4 linked regions of the Oreochromis niloticus genome follow. The main gene of each other region encodes a partner of the protein of the gene in region 4 in a complex. Links are inferred from orthologs where the notes say so. Each region holds a gene or a part of one and is shown on either strand. Other genes may lie near its edges.

Region 1 (7,713 bases), on a different chromosome or scaffold from region 4:
AGGTCTGCCCTGCCTGCGATGCAGGTTGATGAACAGACCGTCACTGGTCTGGGATAGACCCAAACTATATCCACCGGTGCTTGGAGAGGCAGAGAAATGTGGGAAAAAAGAGTATTGGAAACGCAAAATCAAGTGGATGCAAGTAAGCACGGTTTCAGGCATCTCTTAGAGGTTTAAAGGTATTTGGGAAGATCCTTCTCCACCACCTGGAAAGAAAGCGAGAGTTGCATGGACTTCAGTTGCATGTCTATACACAGGGGTGATAAAATTACACGTACTATAAACATCTCTTGTTGTTTCTGAAAGCACAGCAGAGCTCATCACGGGGTGAGCAGTAATCACACAGACACATGAGCAATGAACATCTGACAGAACAACCAGGTTTTGTACGTACACTTGGATCATCCAAGGGTCCATATCTCTTCACCACCTGACCCTCTCTATTGATCAAAAACTAAACACAAAAAAAATATAAATGAATAATTATAACATATTTTTGCATATAAAAGCTTGTTCCATTAATTGTTGCATACTCTCCATCATTATCCTTTATTCTTCATACTGTTTTTCAAATAATCAGAGTTTTATATTTTATAATATTTTAGCCCTGTTGACATAAAAATGTTTTAAAAATAAACCGTAATAAAAACGTACCTTAGTGAAATTCCACTTGATGCTACTACAGAAATAAACACAAAAAATGTGTTAGAAAACTAATAATCGCTCTCATTCAGTCAGCATTGGAATAAAAATGCTGTTAATCAATAACTGATTTAAATGATATGACCGATTCTTGTTCAAATTCAGTTGTACACGTTTTAAACAGATAACTGTATGCATTACGTCTGATCCAAACAAGCTTTTAAGATACTTTGTGACCATATGACTGTGACCCAGATTCATTCATTCACAACTTACTTCCCAAACAAGCCCTTTCCGTTAGGCTGTTCCTTCAGCCACTTCCACAGAGGATGAGCGTTTTGGCCATTCACCTCGATCTTGCTGAACATATCAAACCGAGCGCTGAACGTGTCTGCAAACTGCTTGATTTGAGTTTCATTGCCCGGCTCCTAAAAGTAAATAGTATTAAAAGTATTGAAGTCTCTAACTGCTCTCAGTGACCTGCATATGACAAATTAAATATACTGGGCACCAAATGTCATGCCTAGTTTCTTTCAAAACAAGCCATCATTCAGACTAGTAGTGAGAAGATTGCCAAATTATCCATTTCAATGTTAATGCAACTACAATTTATGCCTATGATTAAACTCTTAATGAAATTATGAATGCTTTAGATATTTAAAAAAAACATTTCAGAAGACCTTATACAAAAAACTATAAAGGTTTCACACTGCCTAACATTTCACTTACACAGTTTTCATATTTTATTTTCTCTAAATTTTTTCAAAACTGTGTACAAATCTATTCTCACCGACATCCATCAAGCCTTCCAGTCATGTTCCTATTTATACTCTAAAGATTTTTCAGAGGGGTAATTTAAAAAAAATGTTTTTTTTCTGTAAAACTTTTAAAAAGTTATTGTCCATCTGTTAAAAATGTATTGATTTATGGCACAATAAACAGTAAAAGCATCTGTAAAAACCTTAACATGTATCACATTTGTGTTCTGGAGAAGTACAAGTCCATAAAGTCTCCATATTTAAAGAGATAACACCTAATTTGCATAAAACATAATTTAATTTTATTTAATTTTATTTATTTATTTAGGACAGTGCATGTTAATGAACATAAATGTAAAAAAAAAAAAATTACATGAATGTAGACATGCCAGATTATAGCCAAGGGCTAATTTCCATCTGTTGTAAAAAGCACAGCAATATAAAAACTAACTTTAATCAGTCATCTGGGGACATTTTTTTTAAATTACCCATTCACTTGCAGTGCCTCTCATTATTATAATTCGTTTTTCCATTTATATTTGGTTTTAGTGTTTATAAAAACACTATCTTCTCCATCTTGAGAGCTTGAAAAAACAAGACAACTGAACTTCTTTAAGTTTGTGAGGACGGTTCCCCTCTCATCCAAGAGGCTTCTTCAGGTCTAAAAACAAGACCTGGAGTCCCCTAATGGGGGCTGTCATTATTGGAGATGGTTCTGAGGGTTTTGACCCCCTATTGATCATGTTAGTCGTTACATGAGCCACGGTGTAAATAAAGGTGCAGGCCATTACCATCACTGGGGGTTAAGGGTGAAACCCCATGAGGGGTAAATATCTGGGACTTTCCACCATTTGTTTTTAGACCTGAAGAAACCTCTTGGGTGAGAGGTGAAACGTCTTTACAGATCTCCAGTTATCCATGACCTGGATAACTGATAACTTACACAAACAAATCTCAGTAAATGTTGCAATAAAAAAAACAACTTATGTTTTACATACCTGGTTCCCAAACTGGTTGGAAGGGAAGGCAAGGATGCTTAAACCTCTCTCAGCGTACTTGGCGTGCAACTGAGTAAACTGAGAGTAGTTTACTGGGGTTTTACCTCATTTAGAGGCAACATTGGTGATGATGACAACATTCCCCCTAAATACACACACACACATGCACACACATTTTATTAGTGATAAGAGGTTTATAATTGTAATAGGAGGTTTTAACAAAATGACAGAGAAATTTACCTGTATTTTTCAAGGGAAACCACGTTGCCATCGATATCCGTTGCTGAAAAGTTATAAATGGATGTTGCCCTCTGCCATTCCTCTAATGGGGTAGACTGTTTTAGAAGGAATAAAAACAAAACAATAAGTAGTTAGAACACCGTGTTATTTCCAAAACTCAACAGCCTATCAGATGTGAAGAATTCATTTTAAAAAGAAAATGTAATGAAAATACAAAAAAAAGCAATACAACATGAAAATAAACATAAATCTATGGAGAGCAAAAGCAAAAGCAAAGGTTAGCCCTCAAAGGCAAAAGTAATGTTTCAGTCCTAATCCCGTTGTTTCTTACCATGGCCGGCAGCAGGACAGAGAGGAGCACTGTGCACCCTATCAGGCGCATGGCTGCCCTAGTTACCTCCTCTGTCTCTAAAAGTATCACCGCTGAACTTCTGTCCCTGTACTGAGAGTACTCATGTTCTACAGTGCTTTTGTAAAGGGAAACCAGGTGATCATTAACTAAACTGATAGGCTGTGATTGTCCAGTACCTCCCTCTGTGCTGCTGATTCAGTAAAGCCAGATCAGAAAAGCACATGTGCTGCAGTCCACAGTTCACAACTTAGTCCGTGTAGAGCAAAGAGCAACGGTCGGAAGAAAAACCAAAGCTCATTATGCATTGTGTTTAGTATCTGAGTGAAAAACTGGTGATTTGCAGCAGATATAAACTTCTACATTACCCTAACAAGACTGCATTTCTCTCGTTCTATTGTAATGAGAAAAAACACATTTTAAAATTTTAAATTTACATCAATCAGCTTTAAGATTATTACATTTTTTCACATTTTGAATGGAAGATGTGAGGACGAATCAGAGCCAGAAGCTTCAATCACACCTGCTTTTTATCTCAGTACGCAAAGAGTATCAAAAATATACATTTTACAAAATAAATAACAGTAACAGTGATTTGTTTAGTAAAACCTATTGAATAACAGTTGCTGAGTTTTACCTGTTTACGTGTGTAGCACAGGTTGCTTTGAGTCACTGTGCAGATGTTACACAATCTCTTTATATTCTAGTGTGAAATTAGAAACCAAGTTTTATGGAGAATTATTTTGTGCATCAATAATCTCTCAATATTTTGTAATATAATATAACTGCCAGTACTGTTAATCCAAAGCAATTAAACAACTAATGTGGCTATTTTGAAATAAAAGGGTTGAAAACCGTTATCTTGCCTGTTTTGTAAGGGTCCAATGGTCCATGAGCCATTACAAAACGGCTATGCGAGCTAAGCGTACAGACCTTTGACAAAAATATTCCAAAGAAATGAGTTTGGCAGACAACCTTCTTTTCTTTGTTCTGATATTTTCACATTTGCTTTAGGCTTACACAAGATTATGGTTTAAATGCACCCATTCAACAATGCTAACCATGTCATTACATGAGAGCCTACTTTTTCCCACCACAAAGTTTATAAGCGAACTTGAAACTTTATGCAGGGAAAAAAAATCATTCTACCAAATAATCATAATCTCAGACAACAAGAGCAGAATTGTTACAAAACTGGTGATTATGTTTTGTGAGCTGGAGTAGAAGAGCTAAGCAGAACATTGCGCCACAAAATAAGAGATGAGGCAACATTTTGCTCTGATTTTCAGTAGTAAAGATTATTTTGTCCAGGCAAGTGTGCAGGAAATCCAGATCTTGATCAAATTTAAACTACAGTGTTTCATTTAAGAAATAGTGTGTAGTCATAAAGTTTTACTTTTTGTCAGTTTGGACTGTTGAGGCTTGGGTGCATTTCTTTATTACAACTCAGGAGGTCTACATGATCTGTAATTGTAATTCCTCTTTTAACTTTTCTAAATCTTGCCCTGATAAAGAGTAAAACGCCAAATCCAATGTGGAAGCTAACTCATAATTACACTGAAAACAGAAAATAACAACAGACAAATAAAATGTAATAATAATAATAATAAGAAAATGAACTCTGTTCTTTCTCCACTTTTTATCCACCACTAATATAAACTGATGCTGAAAGCAAACTTTTATTCTTTAATCATAAAACATCAGTTACAATAAAAAACATGGCCGGGTGTTGTGTCCATCCAGACGTGCCTCTCTGTCTGTCCCTGATGATAAGCCTATCAGCTGACACCAGCAGCCAGAAGGGGAGCACAAACATCCGGTGTCACAAACAGCACTTATATGTAATGTATTTTTTTCTTTTTGTTTTTCCACCCTCCAAATTCAGTAAAAAGGTATGTGTCTAACTGTGTGGGGAAAAAGCAGAGGGAGGGAAGGATTTGCGAACTTTGTGGGCGTCCGTCCGTGTCACGTGTGTTAATCAAAGCCCACCACAAACACGCAGAGCATCTTAGGTAACAGCCATCGTTGTTTACGTGAAAAATGGATTAACGATATTATTACAGCAGTAAAAAAAAAAAAAAAAAAAAAACCATGTTAGATGAAATTGTGTTACACGCAGTACAAATCACAGACGTCACTAAAACGCATGCAGATTAAATGGTTGAGTTTACGTTACCGTTGTGGTTAGTATAAAGTACAACACCATCGCCAGTACTGCCACAGAGCTCGCTACAGCCCCAGTTGCCAAAATAACATAAAATGGCCTCATTTTGTTTTAAAATGAGGTCAAATTTACCACCGTGAACCTCAGCTGCAGACTCCGCCCTGCAGCGTGTTGTGAAACAGCGGAGGGCGGTGGCCTCAGAGACCAGAGGAGGGAGACGGGACAATATTATTGTGTGGATGCTTTAAGGCATCCACACTATAGTGTTCCTGTTTCTCTTTATTCTTTATTATGTGTGCCTATGCCAAGAGGCACACATATTACTATTCCTCGGATTTATTATTCTTATTATTATTATTATTATTATTTTCCTTTTTCCGCCTGAAATTTTGCAGTGTATCTCGACCCGCAGTTTTCAGACAAGCTTCATATATGTTACCTCATTTTGTGCGGCTGGATCTGGAATGGTGTGCTATGACTTTTGGTGTTTATGAATATTATAGTTTTTTAAATATTAATATTTTAGTGAAAATTTTCCCGCGCTCCTCTGCCAAACAGTTTTGACAATAGGGGTACATATGTTACATCATTTTGTGCGGCTGGAGCTGGGCTAGTATGGTGTGACTTTTGGTCTTTATAACTTTTATAGTTTTTGAAATATTTAGATTTTAGTGCAAATTTAGGCCAATTTCTAGGCTCCTGAGAAAGATTCTGCTTTTGGCACCATAGAAACAGACTTCATTTGTGGTGTGTTGGCTCTCTCTAGTGGTATACCGGGAGTAGTACGGCCTAAAGGGTGCCATGCTTGGTGAAAACTACATATCCCACAATTCATAGCATGCCTCTACCGAGTCAAACAATGGCGGACACCACTTCGTTTTATATGTCTTTTATTCGTGTTTCTAGGTCACAAAATACACTTTTAAGATATTTTCAGGCGAGAATGTAGGTGTGTAAACTTCAAATATCTGCTCGTTTTATCAAGACATCCCATATTAGCGACAATTCCCTTAAGTGTTGCTGATAGCCGGCTAGCTAGCTAGCGCCGCTAGCTTAGCTAGCTAGCGCCCCTTCGTGAAAAACCACCCAGGCTTGGGTGATAGTGAGGTGGCTAAAATTTGTTTAATCGCCCGATCGCTCGGCAAGGGTCTGTGTCTTAGCTGGACTTATTTTTCGTTTATATGGGCCGATGATGCTGGTCGATGTGGAAAAAATAACTGAGTTGTTTGGTGGTGGAGCTACAACAGAGGGCAGCTATCCACCGGTGTGTGACAGAAAGGACATGCCGCGAACGAGACATACAAGGCGGTGAGGCTACCGCGGATCGACCGCTGTTTGCTAACGCGGAGGTCAATCGTGGATGAGGAAAAGCGAAGGCAGGAGCGTGAGGTGAACTGAATTTCAGGTAAGAAGTTATGACCTGCACTCTATTTGGGTCAGATATAAACCGAGTTTAGGTGTAGTTTATTTAGCAACAGTTCTCTTACGTGTTGCTGATAGCTGGCTGGCTAGCTAGCTAGCGCCGCTAGCTTAGCGCGGCTAGCGACCCTTCGTGAAAAACCACCCAGGCTTGGCTGATAGTGAGGTGGCTAAAATTTGTTTAATCGCCCGATCGCTCGGCAAGGGTCTGTGTCTTAGCTGGACTTATTTTCGTTTATATGGGCCGATGATGCTGGTCGATGTGGAAAAAATAACTGAGTTGTTTGGTGGTGGAGCTACAACAGAGGGCAGCTATCCACCGGTGTGTGACAGAAAAGACATGCCGCGAACGAGACATACAAGGCGGTGAGGCTACCGCCGATCGACCGGTGTTTGCTAACGCGGAGGTCAATCGTGGATGAGGGAAAGCGAAGGCAGGAGCGTGAGGTGAACTGAATTTCAGGTAAGAAGTTATGACCTGCACTCTATTTGGGTCAGATATAAACCGAGTTTAGGTGTAGTTTATTTTCGTTGTGCTGACTTTTTCAATCACTTACAATAACTCGTACTGCGTGCTAGCTAGCACTACGGAGTTTGTATACAGCTGTGTGCGGGCTAAGTTACCGATGTTACCGATGTTGAACTTTATGACAGCCTCCCCTGTCATTCTCTCGCCTGTTGAAACTTCAGTCATGAAACTGATCAATGATCGGCTTTTCTCTCTTGTTTGTTTATCGCGCTAAACAACAGCAGCACGTTTAAGCTTGATCAGCTGTTGTTAGAATTCTTTTGATTTTAATTTCTAGTATCAGCTGATGTTTGCTGGAGCATGAAGATGAAATCAGGAGATGTCCTTACTGAATCATCAGAGCTGAACTGGTGATGGAGAAACAGGTTTACCCTTAGGTGACATGAATGAGTTGAAGGGAAGTTATGAACTGTTTCTGACAGACAAATATACACCAAGCTCCTTTTTTTGTGTAGCTGACAGCTGGTAACTGTGCAGGGGCGGATCTAGCAAAGCTTTTGCCAGGGGGCCAGGTAGGGCATTAACAGAGAAAGGTGGACACAAAGATATACTTTTCTTTCTTACTCTCATATAAAATATTTAGCTTTTATTAAATAGTTATCTGAATCTTACAA
Region 2 (7,790 bases), on a different chromosome or scaffold from region 4:
GAGCCTATCCCAGCTGTCATAGGGCGAGAGGCGGGGTACACCCTGGACAGGTCGCCAGTCTGTCGCAGGGCCAACATACAGGGACAAACAACCATTCACACTCACACATTCACACCTAGTGGCAATTTGGATTATTCAATTAACCTATCCCCACAAGCTGCATGTCTTTGGACAGTGGGAGGAAGCCAGAGTACCCGGAGGGAACCCACGCAAACACGGGGAGAACATGCAAACTCCACACAGAAAGACCCCGGCCTGATGGTGGAATTGAACTCAGGACCTTCTTGCTGTGCGGCAACAGTGCTAACCACCGTGCCTTGTTTGTCATGTCTTATCAGTTATATGCAGTGCATTACAGCAGCTTTATTTATGGTGGCTGATAGGTTAGCATTGTTGCTTCACAGCAAGAGTGTCCTTTGCCTGACCCAGAACAGGGTGCTTCTCTCTGGAGTTTGAATGTTCTCTGCTTACATTGTACCTTTGACCAAGGGACTAGCTAGCATTTGGGCTGTGTTCTGCTGTTTGAAATTCAGAGAAATAATCCCCTTTACTAGGTATAAAGAAATCCCTGAAATTGCACACAATAGAATATATGATAAGTATCTTTTTACTGCTTCTTAGTATTAATATAACCCATGACTGTATTAGTTCTTATCACTATCAAACAAATGCATTACATTCCTGTCCCTGTGGATACAGATAATGTGGAGACCATGTTTTTAAACTTTACTTGTGGATGTTGGTACTTCAGCCCTTAAGAAAATAATGTTCTGTGAGGACCCTGTTAAGGGCCACAAGCTGTAACAGTGTCCTTTATACTACCACAACTATTGCAGGAGCCTAAACCTCTTCAGACTTCATGTTCTTTTCTGCACACCATGGAAGTAGGTGAAGCACCAGCACTATCAACTTAGTTTCTGAAGAATATTTTACAAACCAAAAGCAACAGTCCAGCAGTCCCTCTTGGTTTCTCCTTCCATTGGCTCCATGTTGGCTACAGGGGAATCCTTCTGTCTCGGATCCCACACTTTTACTGTACCTATTAAAAGACAATCATGTAGGATCTAGTCTTATTTTCATGTACTTTACTTTCCCACTATCATTGCACTGAAAAGTAATTACAATCTAGTTTTTTTTTGTTTGTTTTTTTAAATGCTCTTACCATCTCTGCTTCCGGTGACGATCTCAGGCGCACCATCACCAATCCCCAGACCACCAACACCATCAATACTATTCACTATCTCTTTGTGGGCCTTTACAGCATATACGGGCACATCCGGGGTCTCTAGATTCCTGTGAACCACAGGACATCAGTACTGAATAAGTCTAATGTCGACGTAACGTATTTTTAAAATATCATTTCCTTTACATTTTTTTTAATTCCATTCGAATTATAACTGTCTTTGGGACTGAACCAGCGTTGAATATAAGATCTACAGTAAACATAAGAAATGTTTTTTGGTTAAAAATAGAATTTAAGCCTTGCTTTCCCAGTTTGATTCTTCTTATTACAGGCACAACACTGATAATTGGTGTATACAATACCATATATTGAGATTTCCATCAAAATCCCCCGTTGCTATGTGTCTTTGCTGAAGAGACGTGGCCCCAAATGTTCCACACTTTATAGCTTTAGGTTTCTCTACCTGAAACATATCAGAGGTAAGAGTTTGTTTAGTTTCGTGAATGGGACAATTCAACATATAATGGAAAAGCAATGTGGAAGGAGTGCAGTGAAAATGTATTTTCATGATCCAAGTGAGCTTGAGCTTCAGGGCATAAACTGACAGTCAGGCATTCTCCTTTAGGATTTTCTGGTTGAATCTTTTAATTCAAGTCGTCCAGGCCAAAAGCAGCAAAACAGCCTCAGACCATCACACCACCATGTTTGATTGTTTGGTATGATGTTCTCTTATGAAATGGTGTGTTAGTATTACGCCAGATGTAACATGATTCAAACCTCCCAGAAAGTTCAACTTCGCTTTGTCAGTTCACAGAATAATGGGGAACATCAATTTGTTGTTTTTGTTTTTTACCTAATGTGAGATGGCCCTTTGTGTTCATTTTGGTTTTCACTACGGAACTCTCCCATAGATGCCATTTTTACCGATTCTCTTTCTTATCATTGAATCATGAACACTGACCTTAACTAAGACGTTCTTGTCTTACACTAACATTTGCTTGATCATTTGAAACATGCGTGACGAATATGCAAGAACATAAGAAATTGGGAAGAGGGCAAATACTTTTTCACAGCACCGTCTCATGCAGGCACTCTTGGTTCAAGCTTTAGCAGCAAAATGACCTACCTACATTTGAAACAAACAGGCAAGATAAGTATAAAAGAATCATGTTTATGCACGTTTTGTTACGTTTGCTCTCCTTTATCTGTATCTTGATGCCTGGCACACATGCCATGGTGCAAAACTACAACAGTAAGTTTTGTTTGTAGTACGATACATTGGTGGCAGCATAGCAATATTTTACTCGTTGCAAGTGATGCTGTAGTATTTGCTTTTTAAGTATAATCTGGATAAAGTATGCCAACCCTAGGATAATCTACAGTAGAACAATATTGAACGGGCACTGGCTGCCTTCAAATTGTTGTCATGGAAACATCCTTGCCAGACTTTTCTAGAAATCTTCGACGGGCTAGCTAGCTCTGTACGCCGTTTGTATGAAATCTCTGAGAGAAAAGAAAGGAACAACGGCCCACAAGAGTAGAACGTTAATGTACCTCCTTTATGAGCTGAGCCTCGCCTTGGTGAACTTCATATATTTGAATCACTCCGGTTCCACTAGGAAAGTTTCCCAGACAGACAAACTTCGCGCTGCAGGGAATCCATTTACTGTCAAAAACCGTATAGTTCAAACTCTTCTGAATATGCGTAATAATCTGAGGCTTCGACAGCGGCGATGACATTTTTCTGAGAAACACTGGTATCGGCGTGAAAAAGTAGACAACTGTCGCTCTCTCCCAAAACAAACTAGGTACAGCTGAGCAAGCGGCTGCCTTAACAGATGCCTGACAAAATGTGTATCTTTCAATAAAATATTTATGTATTTTGGTACAAAAATTATATGAAAAAATATATAAACAGCCTGCATTCAATTCTAAAGACAACTAGAGACATCCTAGATAGTTATAATAATATAATTTTGTTACCTCCCAATCTACAGGCGTCGTTGATGTGGCTGTTTGGGTCCTTTTCGTCCCACGAGGACATGCTCACGCGTCTCCGTTCACAGTCTGCTTAGGTTTCTACTCAAAGTCTGATTTTAAAAACATTTTTCGAGATGGACAACGACAAAAACCCAGTCCCGGACGCTGTAGCACCCCAGGAGAGCAAAGATGACGCCGATTCTTTCACAAAGGTTAAGTCGAAAAAGTCTCAGAAGCGAAAACGTGAACAAGATGGAGCGAGCATGGACACAGAGGAGCCCGTGGCAAGCAAACGACCGCAGTTTCCGCCCATTTCAGGAGACAAATTACGGGTAACTACACCATGAGTATATATAGACTCTGTGTATTCTCTCGGTTTTGTCAAATAAATACCAATAAGTGTACATTTAATGTTATTTGTAATGTTTACAAAGTAGCTTCCCCGACCGAACCATTAACTATTATGCGCACGCGCGGTGTAGTCATGTGAATACATTAAATAAAGCTGCTGTTGTGGTAGTGTGGTTGCCCAAGTAGAATATTCAAATACACAACAAATACTGTGTGTAGGTCGTGACTATTATTATAATACTTATGATTTCACTACACAGTACTCTGACTGTTTAAAGCACTGGCTACTAAAGTAAAAATACAGTTAGGAAAACAAAACGCATAAATGACTCGTGGTTAATATCAGTCCAGTACTCCGAGGATTAATTAGAAACTTTGAAATTAAGAGTGCATATGAATGTTTCAGTAATTAAATGCACCGTCAGGCACAATAGAAACCCGGGGTTGCTGTTTATATGTACTCAGCAATCTCTCTTTCTCCTTCTGTTGTGGATTAGTGGTTTCTGTTATGATGACAATTTTTTTCACTGTTTCCTGATGATTTAAAGATCAGACAGTTAAGCGGAAAAAAAGAATCACCACATTAAACAATTGTAAACATGTTACATTCGTTACAGCATTGCTTTGACTTCGGGTTACAAAGCAAAGATGTTTTCTGATAAATCCTAACCAAATGTCATAGAATAGTTTTGCTAACATTACACCGTATGATCAGAAATGTTCTGTGTATTTGTTTGTTTGTTTTCTAAGGGATCAGATGAGATGCGCAAAATCCCAGTTCCAGCTCACAGATACACACCGCTGAAAGATAACTGGCTGAAGATTTTCACTCCCATTGTAGAGAACCTACAACTTCAAGTTAGATTCAACCTCAAAACAAGGAATGTTGAAATCAAGGTAGGTTTCTCCCATTTCATGTAGACTCTGGTGAGTTGACTGAGCCTATTTATTACAATGCTTATATACAGTATTTCATCTCTGATATAACTAATATGCCTTCTTTCTTTCAGACATGTAAAGAAACACAGGACATCACCTCACTCCAAAGAGCGGCTGATTTTGTTAAAGCGTTTGTTCTCGGATTTCAGGTTGAAGTAAGTACATGAGTTTTCTGCATGTTTTAATTCTGCCTGACTGCTTTTGTACTGAATGTGTATTTGTCAAGCCAAAAGTCAAGTTTTGGGACAGTATTAGAGACACTTGACTGACACTTACTTCAGCTCAGTGTTGTTATATAATCTACTATTAATACAATAAAAGTTTCCTCCCTGTCAGTAGCCTCCATAAAGTGACTTGTAGTTGTTTTTGCTTTGTCTAAATGTGTAAATTATCTTTAGAAGCTGTGACAGTATTTGATTGTTAATTTTGAGCCTTGCTGGATTGTCACTCGTGATGTAACATTCACACTCTCTCCCCTCAGGATGCTCTGGCTCTCATTAGATTAGATGAGCTCTTCCTTGAAAGCTTTGATGTCACAGACGGTGAGTTTCCACCTCCGTAGCACTTGTGGCTGCTGTTAGAGTCGTCATAATTTCTTACCAGTTCTCTTTCCCTGCTGCGTGAAGAATACAATGTTCAACCTCTCGAGATCCATTTAATTGTTCTCCCATGTTTTGGCAGTGAAACCTCTGAAGGGAGACCACTTATCCAGAGCTATTGGAAGAATAGCAGGGAAGGGAGGAAAAACCAAATTCACCATTGAAAACGTCACAAAGACTCGCATTGTGCTTGCAGACACGTGAGTAAATCCAGTATTTTGACATGTTACAGTAAAATTACTAATTATTTTTCCACATCATTTGCTTATTAATCCCTTATTAATTTTCCTTAACCACCTTTTTGAAGTTGACACAGTTTCACTGCAGCATTAATCAAACATTTTGATTGGTTTTTTTTCTCTTGCATTGTTTTAGTCATGATAAATATTGAACTCCAATACAGATCTTGCAAAGAAACTCTGTAAAGAAGAGCTTTACTTCTTTGTAATTAAACTTAAAAAAATAAAATAAACTGGCCCGATTTGTTTTGTCAATAAGTGCATAAACATACTATCATAATATATTACTTACTAACAGTTTTTCCTCACACAAATTATATTTTACCCTCTCACGCAGAAGTTTGTGTGGGTACTCTAAAGACAATATACACAACCTTTTGCATACATCCATACCTGCAGTATGTTTTCTAGTTATGTGCCTGTTATTCATTTTTCACTGAAACGGCTAACACTCTGCTTTGTCTGTCTACAGAAAAGTTCACGTATTAGGATCTTTCCAGAATATCAAGATGGCCCGGACAGCGATATGCAACTTAATCTTAGGTAAGACGAGCATTGTTTTTATAGCACAGTATATCATGTGGTTGATGCTATTGAGGTGGTGCTTTATTGGATGAGCTGGGTGGACAGTCTGTCTCAAATACCGTTACTCCCTGAGAAGTACAAGTACTAATGGTGATATTTATTCACTTTGAGGTACTCATTTAAACATTGAAATTTAGATTATAAGACTCCCCTGTGAATTCTTATTTTATAGATTTCAGTTTTGATCTGATATATATTTAAATGCAGCAGTAAAAGTGCCTAAATCAAAAGAGGCTCGGCAATCAAGCATTGGGATGAAACCATGGAATGTTTAAAAAGACCTGTTGTAACACTGTTTTCCGTAAGGAGTGCAAAAATCTAATTTCTTACTTTTTTTTTTTATAAGCTGACAGTCAGCTTAAAGAAAACAACCCTAAAACATTGAACAAACAGTTTAGCCAAGTCCAGAACTGACCTATTTAACTGCTGTGCAGCCTTTTCCAGTGTTGAGAGCATCAGTCACCTGACAGCAAATCCATCGAATCTAGCACTAACCATATTTGGAATTGAACTCTTTGTTTACACATTAATGCTGAGAAGTGACCTTTAAATCCCTTTTGCCCCTACAGGAAGTCCACCTTCAAAGGTCTATGGCAACATCAGAGTGGTGGCTAGCAGGACTGCAGAGAGATTCTAAACCTGAACCATGATTGGTTACCATATGTATTTATCTTCCCCTATTGGCTGGTGGAATTCCTATGTGGGATCTGTGTTGAGTTGAGACCGTCACTGCCCTTTGGACTGATACCTTGGGTTCTTCTGTAATGATCTCATGGTTTCTGGATCAGCTGGTATCAAATATGATTAATAAAATTATGATACGTGCATTAAGAGAATCTGAAAGTATGTGTTTGTGCAAATGTGTTTAAAAAAAACTAAACGAAGCATGTGTGTACTCTTCTTTCCTGGTGAATGAAGATACAAGTCTAGTCAGTCACATCTTGGTCAGGTTTAAAATTTTAAAAAAAAAGGACAGTCAAATAGAATACTTTCAACATTTCAAAGTTTATTTAAATTTTATTTTTCATACAGTATCAAGTTTCCAACAGTCCCACAGCATAAGATGCAGCATGCAGAAAAAGGAAAAAAAAAAAAGTTCTCAAACTTAAATCTTCTCATATCCCCACACAAACTAAAAAGAACCCAAGTCCCTCAGAGAAAAGTAGCACTTACAAACTAAAGCGCGGTCTGAACTATACAGAGAACAGAGAGCCAGAACTGCATTTAACAAATACTTATATACAAAAGGAAAAAAAAAAAAAAAAAAACATCAAATTTTCCCCTTTAAGCTGAGTACAGTGTGTGGCAGTTTGAGACAGGATCAGATATGCAACTTTTACTGGAATCGAAGCATCTCGCTGACCCGGGTAAAATACAAAAAGTTACATGTAGTTCAGTTCAGTTGGATTACCTCTCATAATATGTGTACATTTACCAAAGTTTGGCAACATCCATATTGTATACCATTAAATTCTTAAATATATTAACATCACCATCCATGTGTAAACAAGAGGATTATTTCAAAAAATTGATCTACATGCACAACAAAAAATATACTTCCATGTCATGCAAGCACAGGGAGGCCCAAGCCGTGCAGAGCTTTGGGATAGGGGAAAAATAGAGCACTCCAGATGCACATCTCTTGACTGAAAACTGTTGTTCAAACCAGCAGTTGACCTCCAAAAGCAAAACAAAAAGCTATCCCAATGCTGTTTGCAGTAGGAAGCATTTTCCCTAGAAAATAAAAATCTGGCTGAAGTTATGTTGTTTCTCCCTGTTAGTAGGTTGGAAGGTGAGAAAATGAATTGATTGTGACAGAAAAAAAGAAGTGGGAGAAGAAGCCAACTTTTGAAATGTACACGTTCAAAGAACAAAACAAAAAACTACAATTTACAGTCTACCCATTGCACACTC
Region 3 (6,036 bases), on a different chromosome or scaffold from region 4:
GCCGCCTTGAGGTTAACCCTGAACACACCAGCTACCGGGACTTCCTGCCACACGCACTGTTTGGGACCAGAAGTGTGAGCAGCCACAGAAGTTAGAGTCAGTTCACCGGCCTCTGCGTCAAATGTCCATAATAAGCTCCGCCTACCAAAGAAATCTCGGCCAAACCACAGGTAGTCTCCTGCCTTCTGGTAGTAAACAAACCCCCAAGGTCCACGAATAGCAGACAGGACAGCGAGAATCTCTGAAGGGGCATTGCAGGATGATAGCCGCTGAGCTACAACCGCGGTGTCGTTCTCCTCTGGCGTCACCGGCAGGCCACTGAAAATCTCTCCATTCCACAGCAGGATGTTTCCAGCGTTGTCTTGAAGCGGCTGAGCAGTGAGAAGACCTCTCATGTGAAGAACGTGAGCAGAGAATAAACAGCGATAGCTGAGATCTGAGTCTGTGATGGTGAGGTCCCGGCTCGAATTGGGCCCTCTCCTTTTTAAATGTTCATAAACTCTTTGGTTCCACTGAGAGTGAGCGGACGCCAGACTCAGCGCACAGAAGATCCCACACATCGCGGCGTTGCTGTGGCCTCAGATATCCTGAAGTTCCTTTTTCATATAATCGAGCTCCTCTGCAAACAGAACAATGCACTAGTTACATAAGCCATAAGAGCCTTCACTACAGTCCTATTATAGCATAAAACACGCTGCTGAGTGTTTAATTTTTTTTTTTTTAAAAACGGGGACCCCGTTCCCAACTTCACTGGCATCAAATTCAAAATGAGTAAATACAGGAAAAGCCGGCAAAGACAGAACAGAAAAACAGCCGGGCACTGACACAACCAAGAGTAACAAGACTTTCCAACATTTCCAGTGTTTGTTTTTACCTCACTGCAAATATTTCTCAAACCTACGTCTGAATAAAGTCCTTTATTGAGCAGTTTCTGATGCATAAACCTAAAATAAACAATGCGGCTCAGAAACACCCCCACAGTGATGCCGGTGACTTTTCAATCTTTAGCTTGTCTTGATAACGACGCCTGAAGTTTGATCGACATATTCTTGAAAATCTAATGGAGTTTTGATCAGAACAACTCTGGACTGGACGAGATGTTCTGGGCATGTCCTTATAAGAGGAAGCCCTGGGATAGATACAGGACAAACTGGAGAGATCACATCTCTCAGCTGGCCTGGAAACACCTTGGTCTTCTTCCAAATTAGCAAGTGGAGGTCTTTAGGGAAGGGAGGTCTGGCCTTCTCTGCTTAGATTACTGCCCCCAGTCTCCCACTATCCTGGATAGCAGCAGAAAACGATTGGATGGATGGATGGATGGATGTTAAAAAATAAACAAAGCGGGATAAATCTGTTTTTTGCATCTTAATCTGGAATCTACCCTGTTTGTCACATGATGTATCACATTTTTCAGAAAAAAAACTCTCAGTTAAAAAATTTTTTTAGAATTTTTGTTCATCTTTACTTCCAACACGGAAGTTTTCACCTCTCAACCAGAGACACTTCTCTCATCTTACTTTTGCAGGAAGTGAGTGTCTGACTTCTGTCTCCTACGAAGAAGATGTTACTGTTCCTCTGCTGGATGTAGACTTTCTGAGGGGGGAAACAATCTGCATTAACCCACATTTACACTCTCAAAACACATGACTGCACCAGCCTGACAACATAGGGATGTGATTTGCGTGTTTCCCATCATAACTGCACAGATAATGATGTGATCTAATAAATTTTGAGACTTTTCCACTTCCTCCACTCACCCTGTTTTTCTTCAGATTGCAGAGCTCGTCCACAAGCACCTTCTGCTCTTTAATCTGTAAATTGGCAACACGGAAAGTTTCACCGATAAAAACTACACTATCTGAATCTGTTAAGACACATAAAGCTAACAGAAGCGGCAGAATAATTATACATAACGAAAATAACCAAAAACCTATGTATTTGGGAGACATCCTGTGGTCTGTTACAGCCACATTAGCCATATTAGCATGTTTGGGCTAACGCTACCTTCTTGTTCAGCTCTTCTTTTACTGCGGCCTGTCCTTCAAACTGCTCGTCACTGCTGCAGCCTTTTGAAGACATGATAGTGCGAAGAAACGTAGGAAAAACTGTCCAGAGATTTTACTAATAAAATCGAACCCGGTTCAGAGTAAACTCATGTGTCTAACCAGAAGGAAGCTTTTCCGGGTGCTGAAGGTTTACACAGTTTGAACTCTACTGCCTCCTGCTGGTGGGCGGTAATACAGCCATTCAACTGTATCATTCATCTGTATCAAAAAATACAGATATTAATTTGTACATGGTCTATTTTTTTTTTAACTTTTTCTTTTCTTTTTTTTTTTTTACCAGAGCAAACCAGTTAAATATGATATGATTCCTTCTTTTATTTATTTATGTTTTTTATATGTTTCTTCATGCCATGTTTGCCATCCCACAATGCACTTGGATGCACCATATACATCAATGGGTCACCACAAGCTTCCAAGACTTTCTTCAACCACCAAAGGTAGTCAGCCTGAAACTCCTGGCATTTATTTGGGGACTTAACGTGAAGCATTATCCAATTAACATTATTTTAATGTGCACCAAGACCAGTCAGAGTTTCAAAATAAGCCAAAGTCCTTTTATTCACTTAAACATGGCTGTCTATCGATGTTCATTTCATTAGACTTTTATCAAAGTCAGCCTTATTTGGAGCCTACTGAGGTGGTTCAGGTGATGTATGTCCAGGATGCCTCCTGGATTCCTCCCAGGTGAGGTGTTTTAGGCATTTTTTTTACTGGTAGGAAACCCTTCAATAGGTCATGAAGGAGCGATGATGTCTCTCAGCAGGCTTAGACCCCCCTAAAAAAGCTGGAGAATGTGCCCGGGGAAAGTGAGGTCTAGGTATGACTGTCACTTTTCTCTCAATTAGAACCACAGATGTCAACCTGCCCCACACAGCAGACACACTTGGGTCTAATCTGGACATCTTCAGTTACCAAATATGCAGATCACACATCACAAGCTCTGGGTTACTGCAGATGTCGGGTGGGCTCGATGCCACAGCACACCTGACATTCGGTCTATAAAGGTGAACCTGTGGCTCTGCTGGGGTAGCTAGACTCATCCTAATGACATTTGGGCCAAATATTTATTACTGTCGTTATGGACCATCAAAGCCATTAGGAGTCTCCAGTGCAATCTGAAATCAAACCAAAGCAGTGGGCCGATCTTCCTTAGAGCAGTGAAAAGCTGCTGTAACAGTCTGAGCTCATGCATAACTCCACTGCTGATAAAAACGAAACCCCCTCAGTGACACCAGTGCTGATTTCTTGCTCCTGCAGCTGGTCAAGCACCTTTTAAACTTGACAAACACACCTGCCTGAAGCCTCACGTTGGTTCACTGCCCACTCAGCTGCAATGCCTTATTGATCGGAAACAGCTGTCAGATGTTTGCAGTCTCATTCCCTGAAAGCGAGGGCTGTCATTTTAGGAACGGCGGCCGCAGGCTGTCACAGCCGGCCAGACTGTGACCTTTGATGTTTATTGTTCTGTGGTGGAGTTGTCAGGCACATATAAAACTCTTTGGCCTTATATCCACAAAAACTAAACTGACCACAGCCCTGTTGTGCTCCCAAAACGGTGATTACGACCATTGTTTCTTTGGTCACTCAGATGGTTGGTCATCTTTCTGTATCAGGTGTTGTGACCTTGAGACCTCAAGAGCCAGGCCTCGGGTATTCGGATTTTATCAGACTTTATTGAAATATGACTGAGCTGTTCTTTAATACCTTCATTGCAACAGAGCACAAAAAAGAGGAGAAGCATAAAGAATAGATGAATAAGAGATTTCCCATCTTGCACCTGGATCCCTTCTTTAGCTGCGGCTGGTAAATGTGAGACAACTTTGGGCCACAAGAGGCAGGTCATCCTCATATTTTTATCCAGGGAGTACAAATTTAGCCGATGTAAACAGAGCTTGTTGTTGCACATCCCGGAATCCCTTCAGGAACAGACGTACCTGCAGGTCACATGGCCACAAAATGACAGAGCAGCCGCCTGACCGCTGATGACAGCTACCTGACACAGCGGCCCACTAATAGTGGAGCTGGTAATCTGTTTGTAGCGGCTCAGTGTGTGCAGGCTTTGAGACGGTTGAGCGCTCTGAAAAAGATCACAAAGGAACTGAAGCGCCTATTGTCATCACCTGGCTCAAAATACGTGCTTATGTTACCTGTCGCTGTCAGTTTTGCTCCCTCATGCAATGAGACAGCACAGAGTGCATATGCACTGCATTTGTTTTCATGTGCATTCACAGAGCTTCGTCCTAAAATAACCCAACCTCCAACCTGCTTGGATCACACATTAAGAGTTAAATTTAGGGCTGGATTATTCCACTGGAAGGAACCTGGGCTAAAAGAAGCTGCACTGATTCTCTTTGTGTCTGTAAATTAGTGGATTTGTTAGTAATTACCAGTTATCATGGTAAAACTCAACATTAAAACCACCAAAGTATTCTTAAACACAGGACCTCCCGGGGGGTGGCATCTTCAGGGGGATCCCCTTTGGGTCTTCTGGAATGCTGGGTGGTGCTCTGGGGCCAAAAACTGTAGTTCCTCTAGTGGCCACTTGAGACTTCCTCAACAAATTAGTCAAGTCGCATAGACTCCCAACTCTACAGCAGAAATAAACAAGTTTACAACCTGCTACAAAAAACAGTTTTGGTCTATCTCAGGGGTCTGCAACCTTTAACACCCAAAGAGCCATTTGGACCCGGTTTCCACGCAAAAGAAAACACTGGGAGCCGCAAATACGTTTTGACATCTAAAATGAAGATAACACTGTATATATTGTTTTTTTTACCTTTATGCTTTGTGTGAACAGCTTAAGTGTGTTCCTTATGAAATCCATGAAGTGCTACAGAGAAAATTACATTTTATTTATGTAATTAACACATTTTGAACTCTTAAAGAAATTTAACAAAAGGAAGGACACCCAGCTGAACTAAAATGATCCATGTAGCAAACAAAAACTGTTGTGAGCCGCCTCCCTTATACCACCTTTGGGCTTTTGGAGCCTTGACCTGACTTTTAAAAAATAATTGGAAAAAAAGCACTATGCTGCTAAAAAATGAAAAATAGATATTTGCAAAATTCTGCCTAAATATGCATTTTATCTGGTTAATGTGTGTGGCGGGGCGTGGTCTGCAGTGCCGCTGCATGGGAGTCGGACGCACCTGAGCTGCACCCGCAATCACGCCTCGCAGCCTTAAAGTCTGTGCTCTCTGCTCTTGTGTTGTCGGGCTGTGAGCTGAAAAGCTGCAGCCGGCTGTATGCGTACAGCAACCGTGTGTGAAAAGTGGTCAATAAAGAGATGCTGAAAAGCAGCGGGTTTGCCGTAGTATGTTTACAATGGAACTTCTGCTCCTGAACCTCTGCGCACAGCGTCTGCAAATCGGGGCTGTACGAAGTCACTTTCATCTTTAAGCAGAACTAAGCTGTCGTCTGTGAGGTGTGAGCGGTGTTTGTTTTTAACATAGTTCACGGTGGAGAATAGCTGCTGACATAATGTGGATCCGAAGATCCATAATTGGCCTACCTGGGGTTGAAAGTCTCGATAAATGCACGGCGTTTCGGCGGGTATACCGGCTTCCGCGAGTGTGACGCTTATTTTGAGCGATGAAAAATAATAAAATATAATTTTATTTTTATATTTCAATATCACAATAATCTTCCAATTTAGACCTTTATTTAAACACAAATAAAATACACTTCAGCTAAAAACTTCTAATTTATTTTCCCAAACCACCCGGAGCCGCAGTATAAGGACAAAAGAGCCACATGTAGGTACGACATCTTTGTTATGTTCCTCGAGTTGTTTTAAGGTGCAGGAGTACACATTGTCCTGTGGGAGGAGACCACAGACTCGCAGCGGGTACTATTTCCATACAAGTGCAGAGTTAGTCTGCAACACATTTTAGGTGGACAGTGCTTGTCTAAGTAATATCTAAATGAAAGCCGGGAGTCAGGTGTCCCAGCAGAACATTGGATCATAACG
Region 4 (7,516 bases):
TAATCGAGATCTCAATTTCAGTGAAAATAATCGTGATTATCATTTTTGCCATAATCGAGCAGCCCTAGTATCAATAATAACAAAACAGGGATTTATCTCACGTCAGGTCCGTGAATGCTAATAGGAGCATGAGGTAGATATTTATCACACTCTGCACGCCCATATAGTCTTTAAAAGCCCTAGTTAGTGGAAATGAAATCACCTGTGTGAGTCTGTCGAGACTTACAGGACAATGTTTACACATCTGTTATAAAGAAAATGTTTTATCACCCTTTTACTGATAAGTACTCTCTTTCATTTTACACATAATGCAAAATAAATGTAATAACACAAAACCTACATGCACTTTTCTTATTTTAATCAATAATACTTAAAACACTGATGCTAACACCCCCTGCTTAGAATCAATGGAAATGCATTTACCGTAGCAAATCTACCCTGTAGTGAAGCCCCTACACAGTCATGGTCCACTCACACAGGTGTTTTTATCTGTCTCTTAAGAGCTCTACTATCTCTTAATGTCTCTCTGTGCATACACCACATGTCAATTCCCTTAAATGCGTCAATACTTTTAGCATCTTTTTTTTGTTAGCAGCTCTGCTAATCTATGTCTGCTTACAATGCCTGTAGTATAACAAGGCACAAAAACAGACTACTGCCACTGAAACAAAGTAGTAACTTCCTCAAATACGACAAATGGCAGTGTGAAATATACTATATACACTTAAATATTGGGTCACACCTTTAAATCTTTGAATTCAAGTACTTAAAATCCATCACCTAAACATCCATTTACAAACATTTGTGAAAGAACGGGTCTTTCCAAAGACTTCACTGAATTCAAGCGTGGTACTGTCATTAAATTTATTTCCTACTAGATAGAGTAAAAGTATTTCGGGAACCATTCAGGAAGTGGCAGACTATGTAAAGTTTCAGAGTGAGGTCACTGAGTAATGAAGCGCATAGTAGACAAAAGTCGTCATCACTCTGCCGACTCAGCAGCTACAGACCTCCTCTGGCATTAAGATCAGCACAAAAGCTGTGCGTTCGGAGCTTCATGGCACAGGTTTCTATGGCTGAGCAGCTCCCGTAGGTGTAATGTGTAAGTGGCCCAGTATTTTTGTCCATATACGGCATCTCTGCATGTTTCCCTTTTGTAAACTACTTGCACGTGCACATTTAATAAAATAAGCCAGTTTTCTTTTAATCAGCTGTGCTGTTGCAACACAATTTGTGCTAAACAAATACATCTAAATTTGTTGATTTCACATCAGAGTGAAGTCTGTCCTTGAAGACCCACAGGTCATAGCAAGCAAGGACTGACGAGTATCAAGTAAGAGAAATGAGATGGACCCACCCTCCCTGACATGTTACTTCTCTGATAATACTTTGTTCTATTTATTAACCAAATTCTGTTAAGGTGCTTCCATGTCACTAACCTGCTGTTTTGCATCACAGGCACTGTTTATTGTTAAATACTCCAGGGTTGTTGACAACACTAACAGTAACACCTACAATAAAAAGTCAAAAATCTGTGCTGTGAAATGGGGCCTGCTGGAACCTGAGCAAAGGTCAAACACTTCATTAGGAAATAAAAGAATATCACCGTGTGGGTGTGCACAAACTTGATAAGCAACTGATGTTTTCTGTCAATTTAGAACATATTTATGACCCTAAAGGAATCAAATTTTGGTTATAACAGCGTGTTTGTGCAAAATAGGGCAAAAAAATGGGGATGTCTAAACCTGATATAGTAAACTTCCAAACTACACTGAAGGAATATTAGAACATGAAGAACCTACACAGTGTACTCAGTTAATGCAAGCATATTTTAAAAACAACCAACTTTGTGCTCAAGTTCATTGGTGCTTTCATGCTTACCAGTGTTGAATCCGACTTTCACAGTCTTTCACCACCTGTTTCAGGACAAATAATTTTAGTAAGAATCAAGCTGATAAATCTACGCAACTTACACAGTCTTCAGGTGGAAAATCTAAACATTTAAAGCATCTGTGATAAAACATTCATTTCACCGAGGCTTTTACTTTACCCCGGCTGCAGACACAACTGCCCAGAGGCACGAATTTATATGTAATAATAGTTTGAAAGTCATCACACACAGGGAAGTAGGTCAGCAACTCCGAGGAAGTAGGACGAGACAAACACGGCTGTCAAAAAATTAATACATTTAAAAATGAAGCAAAAAAACTGAAATAAAAACACAGTGTTTTTGTGTCTAGGTGAAATTTACTTCCCAAAGTAAAGAAGCAAACAGCACTGGTATGAAATTCTTTTTTTTTTAATGCCAAGAAACGAACCTAGCTGAGCACGCCCTCCTACAACATTTAAACTTGAACATGTGAGTGTCTGCAGGAGGAGGAAGCTTCTCGAAAACTGAAAGTCAAAACAACAAACACTCTTCGTGTAACCTGTGAAACAATAATGGCACAAATGTCTATATCTGCTGTAAAAGGTACTTCAGCAAGTCCCAGCAAGTGGTTCCAAGACCTTTCCCGGTGCACCATGTGGCCAGTGGCAGACGGTGGCTTGGCTAACGTTGCATACTAGCCAGCAAAACGTTTCGCGACAACTGGTGATATTACCTTTTCGTGCTCCTCTCGGAGCCTGATAACTCCGCCGAGGTGTTCTACATCCACTTGACCCTTTTCAGCCATTGTCAACCCACTTGCACAAAAGAAATTTCTGGTGTTTCGTGACCCCAAAACAAAGCTCAAGGGCTGTTGTGAGTCCTAAAGAAGTGTTTATGAATGCAGCAGCAGCTATTCCTGAGACCCGTTCTGCTCGTATTCATCAATGGGGCAGTGATAGTTATCCACACTTTCGGAAGTGATATCATCTCACACTCTCATTTCAGAATTTCTGCATGATTTCCAAAAATATCCACAGTCTGAATATCCGAAGATTAGCCAATACTCCTTGTCACTCTCGCTGCGCCATGCACCTCCGTCCAACTCCAAGAACTCAACCGTTATTCCAGGGTGGTATCCGGTCTGAACTTTCAAAATAAAAAACTTCGGTTGTATACTTGGTTTAGCATTAACAACAACAACAACAAATACAAAACGTAAAATTAAAGAAAAACAAACTAAAACAATTATACTTTTGGTGGACAGAAGTGAATAGGAATAAATCTGGTAAAATTACAGTCACAACAAAGTGCACACCTTGTTGTGGCTTCTTTCTACTCTCAAGCCCATCCTCCCAGTTTCACATCAGCAGGTTTTTCGTAAGGCTAAAAAATCAGTCAGTGTTGGATTCACACAAGAAGTAATTCAGCTTGCGTATGGAAGGTTAAGGTGTGGAGGTCGACTGGGCCACTGCAACACCTTGAGTTCGACAGACTTAATAATTGCAAGGCGCACACATCCTGTGACTACAAATGATTACATTTAAAAAGTGTGTACTTTATTTTTACCATGACTCCACGAGTACTTCAAAAGTTTTAGCTTTTAATGCATCTCTTTCCTTTCACATTTAATGCTTTTATTATCAATCTCAAACATTACATTTTCCGTTTTGGTTTCAAATGAAGCGAGCTTGATGCAGTTCTTCCTCCCAGTGTACTCTGGGTAAATATGAACGTCTGCACAGATGTAAACAATCTAAAGCGAGGTAATGTTGTTCCACCTGCATATAAAAACAAAGTGACAAGCACATCAGATTTGCACATTCAGGCACTATTTAACTAGCAGCAGGTGCAAACCTCCCCATGTTCACATTCCCGATGCTGCACGAAAATTTACAGATATTATTTAAACACACATCACATAAAACCCTATAAAAGTATCAGAAGTAACGAGTGAATCAAACACGGCAGTTGAGTGAGTTTGGTTTAATATGATAACAACAATATAATTTATCCCCAAGCTCCCAATCTTCCTGTGTGGCAGGCATTAAATAGTCTGTTTTTGTTGCTTTTAATTGCTGTTGGAAATATGAGAAACACCAGTTATAAACAAGGTGTACACAAGGGACAAAAAAAGAATGGCTAATAATTCAGAGTTTACCCTTTAAAGCACAGTGAACACAGATTATTTGGCCTGAAAATCAAAGACTATTTTCAACTGTCCAATGATATTTTAACGTATTTAAGTTAAGAATACGTTATAATGGCTTGATGCCATATATGCTATATTTATAAACTCACACGCTGTTAAAATGTACAATTTGTAAGAAAAATATAACAATACTAATTTAGGCTAGTCTAAAAATATTATACATTGCTGAAACTTGTATTGGAATTTAGGCTGAACACTCTATTTTAATTCAACTGAATGTGGTTTACACGTTTGTAGTTTTTGGACTTGAATGCAACTTCCTAGCCATTCCCATCAGGCATTGCGACAAGAGTCATACAGCAAGCTTCATATATCATGAGGTGCATGCGGAGCCTGGCCGAGCTGAACAAATAATGAGAATGACATAGTAAAACCAGGACCAGTAAATGTCGATAAGGATTTGAATAGACAGCAAGGTATGTTCCAAGCGGTTACTGTGGATGGTGAAGCAGCTATGGCTTTAATTTGAATTGACAGAGTTTTGTAGAAATGACAGAGCTGCGCAGTCTGTTATGAAGCTTTTGATTGCTTGATCGCCTTAACAATACGAAAGCATGCGGGAAGAATATTCATAATGTTAATTGTTTGTTTTTTTCAAAAACTGTTTTTAGTAAAGGTCGCCAAATTCAGCATCAGTTGAAGTGAGATAAGGGCTCACGGTGATTAAATTGCGGCTGTATGGATAGATAATACTATCAGTTTAACTTGCATTAAGCCAGAAGTGTCATAACACAAGAACACTCACCAAAATGTATTAATTATCAACAGCCCAAACCGTCCGTTTGAGTTGTTAATGACTTTATTATTCCTAAACTTCAATGTGTAATTATGGTTTATTTAACCATTTATTGTGACGAGAGTCTCTGGTGTCATGGTTGAATTTAACTGTAATTAAAAACACTCTGCATATAATTATAAAAATCAGTGCGTACAACAGCTGACAGTAAACATAGTTTTGATTTTAGTAGAAGTGTCAAATTCTTATTAACAGAGAAATAAAAATGATGCGTTCACGAGTCAATCCGAGGGCGCATGCTCGGTAAAAGTATGACCGTTTACGTCAGCATACCTGGAGTGTACATAAAGGCAAAGCATTTTAAAAACAAAGACCTTTGTAACCTAGCTTTTCGAGATACCGGTCATTGATTTTTTTTAACCTATTTATATCACTTCTACTCATTGTCTCATATTTACCTTTAACTTTGTTCTGTTTTATTTTTAAGCTTAATGTTATTTTTTCATTGAGAACTGATTTAATTACGTCTGAAGTTTCTTATTTTAGCTATTTAAAATGTTAAATGTTTTATTGTTAAAGTTTACCAAGTAATGTGTGGAATTTAAGATGAGTTAAGCTGTGTTGGTATTTTGTTCATTTATTTAATTTTGAATTTACTTTTCAATTATAACCTGCTGAAATGTTGGCAATGTTGCTGCTGTACTCAATCTTGTGAAACTGAAAGTATTTAATAAATTATGAGGGAACACTTCTAAATAAAAACACAATTTCAAATCCTTTCAACTTTTATGGGCCTGTGTTGCTGAAATGTTGAATAAAATTGTCTAAATTGTGCAATTGTTTTATGAATCGCAAATCTAATCCACAGTATGTCTCCACGAATGGATGATGTTATGAAGCTGTGTTGTGAGTTGTCCGCCAATCAGCAAGTTAAGACCACAGTAAAAGGTTCTGGGAAAGGAGCAGCAGCAGCTGGGGCGCTGGCCTTTGCTGGAGGATTGGTTGGGGGTCCTCTCGGCATAGCTGTAGGTGAGTGGAACAATGCAACAGTTCCTCTATCTTTAGGAACCATTTCTAATCATATAGATTCATCATAAATGCTGATGTATTGGAATTAAGCTGTTTATTTTGGAGTGATCAGCATTATTGCTTTATCTCAAAAGTTTGAAATTTTGATCTTCTGTAGGAGGGGCTGCTGGAGGCCTTCTGGGCTGCTGGCTGACCAGTGGTCAATTCAAACCACTTCCACAGATCATAATGGAGCTCAGCCCTCAGGAAAAGCAGAAGCTTTATGATGATCTCATGGAAATCCTGGGAGACATTCAGTGGACTGATTTGGCTCAGCTGATTGCTCTAGTCATGGGCAACGCAACTCTGAAGCAGCAGCTTACGGCTGCTCTTCTTGGATACATCACCAAGGAGCTCCAGGCAGAGGTGCACTATGTTGATTAGTCGCTTTCAATATTGTGACACAGAAGCCTGATTGCAGAGGAGGATGTTCTCTGATGAGTGTGAACTGCTTTTTGACACTTAAAAGATTCTTAATTAAATTCTGTATGATATAAATGTTAAATATGTCGATGAAAACACCTGTATGGCTGGGTAATTTATTTTGATAAGTGCAATTATTACTTATTTATTGTATCATTTATTCTGTCTTTAACTGCACCGATCATCAAGTCTGGCTTTAAGTCATAGTGAATTTTGGGTTTCATGGAGTTGTGCATTTACTCTGTTTTTGTCCAGTCTACCATCTTATTTACATAAGAAGGATTGTGAACTGACTAAGCCAAAATTCTTCTGTGTAATATAAAGATTTGATATAATTACATCAATTACCAGCCTTTTTACATTTTAGCAGATTTGCCAGCAACTGTATACAGCGTATTGTACACTTTGAATAAAAAATAAAACCAGTGTGGACTTGGCATTTGGCATAGCAGTCTTCATTCCTTGGCATCGAATCCATCTGGGCATTAACATTGTAGCTCTGTCTTTTATTAAACTTAGTACTAACACACTTAAGCTAGCATGCTGGGGTTGGCATAGGATTCTAGTAATCTGAAGGTCTGTGATTTTATCCTAGCTCTTCCAGTCTGTATGTTGAAGGGTCTTTGGGCAAGATACTGAACCCTAAGCTGCTCTTAGTGCATCCATGAGCATTTGTGTGAGTGTGGTGTGTGCGTGCTTATTATTCACATGAAAGTGCCCGAAGGCATAAGACACATAGACTATAGAATGTGTGAATAAGTGCATATAGCATGTGGAGTAATGGTTCAAGTGTTCAAAAAGACATCCATTTAACTTCCATTTTATTGTGATTCTGCTCTATTGTATAGACATATACCTTCTCCATTAACCTTTTATCAGCCTGAATGAAGAATAGCCTTTAAGAAAGTGCCTCCAGACATCGTTAATAAGAGAGTTGGCTGTCAGATAATTAAATGTATGTACAGGTTAAAATTCACACTGGTGTATCAAGTTATTTTTTAAGCATATGTATTTTTAAATATAGTGTTATACACCTGTTGTGGGTGTTTTGGTTCTGTATTTTACATGGTTTCATTCCTGCTTTAGTCATTTCTGATAAAAACTTAATTCTGGTCTATTTGTCTTTGCTTTTCTACTGTTGTGTCATTGGCCCAATAATAAAGTGGTGAAAAATGGTTTGTGTAAGTAGATTAAGTTCTTTATAAGATTC

The links.
Region 1: uri1 (region 4) and polr2eb share a complex: the UniProt entries of both Homo sapiens proteins name them as parts of the PAQosome complex. The link is inferred for Oreochromis niloticus from reciprocal best matches to the Homo sapiens genes URI1 and POLR2E.
Region 2: uri1 (region 4) and dnaaf10 share a complex: the UniProt entries of both Homo sapiens proteins name them as parts of the PAQosome complex. The link is inferred for Oreochromis niloticus from reciprocal best matches to the Homo sapiens genes URI1 and DNAAF10.
Region 3: uri1 (region 4) and asdurf share a complex: the UniProt entries of both Homo sapiens proteins name them as parts of the PAQosome complex. The link is inferred for Oreochromis niloticus from reciprocal best matches to the Homo sapiens genes URI1 and ASDURF.

Annotation. Positions count from the first base shown.
Region 1 is NC_031986.2:39,882,817-39,890,529, forward strand, and holds the start of polr2eb (DNA-directed RNA polymerases I, II, and III subunit RPABC1), read left to right. Parts: upstream 1-4,705; coding exon 4,706-4,879; intron 4,880-5,163; coding exon of another isoform or gene 5,164-5,256; exon of another isoform or gene 5,257-5,316; intron 5,317-7,713. UniProt on the Homo sapiens protein: DNA-dependent RNA polymerase catalyzes the transcription of DNA into RNA using the four ribonucleoside triphosphates as substrates.
Region 2 is NC_031978.2:9,086,796-9,094,585, forward strand, and holds the start of dnaaf10 (dynein axonemal assembly factor 10), read right to left. Parts: upstream 3,011-7,790; 5' UTR 2,924-3,010; coding exon 2,738-2,923; intron 1,647-2,737; coding exon 1,546-1,646; intron 1,294-1,545; coding exon 1,163-1,293; intron 1,040-1,162; coding exon 938-1,039; intron 1-937. Other genes in the region: RNA-binding protein PNO1, read left to right, coding at 3,298-3,495, 4,265-4,411, 4,525-4,608, 4,935-4,995, 5,135-5,252, 5,764-5,834, 6,446-6,513. UniProt on the Homo sapiens protein: Key assembly factor specifically required for the stability of axonemal dynein heavy chains in cytoplasm.
Region 3 is NC_031987.2:6,963,839-6,969,874, forward strand, and holds asdurf (ASDURF protein), read right to left. Parts: upstream 2,212-6,036; 5' UTR 2,080-2,211; coding exon 2,005-2,079; intron 1,812-2,004; coding exon 1,758-1,811; intron 1,594-1,757; coding exon 1,518-1,593; intron 620-1,517; coding exon 579-619; 3' UTR 561-578; downstream 1-560. Other genes in the region: asnsd1 (asparagine synthetase domain-containing protein 1), read right to left, coding at 1-560.
Region 4 is NC_031972.2:60,922,633-60,930,148, forward strand, and holds the start of uri1 (unconventional prefoldin RPB5 interactor 1), read right to left. Parts: upstream 3,004-7,516; 5' UTR 2,676-3,003; coding exon 2,604-2,675; intron 2,556-2,603; exon of another isoform or gene 2,526-2,555; coding exon of another isoform or gene 2,478-2,525; intron 2,282-2,477; exon of another isoform or gene 2,114-2,281; coding exon of another isoform or gene 2,051-2,113; intron 1,917-2,050; coding exon 1,882-1,916; intron 1-1,881. Other genes in the region: zgc:112052 (protein C19orf12 homolog), read left to right, coding at 5,685-5,844, 6,002-6,267. UniProt on the Homo sapiens protein: Involved in gene transcription regulation. Acts as a transcriptional repressor in concert with the corepressor UXT to regulate androgen receptor (AR) transcription.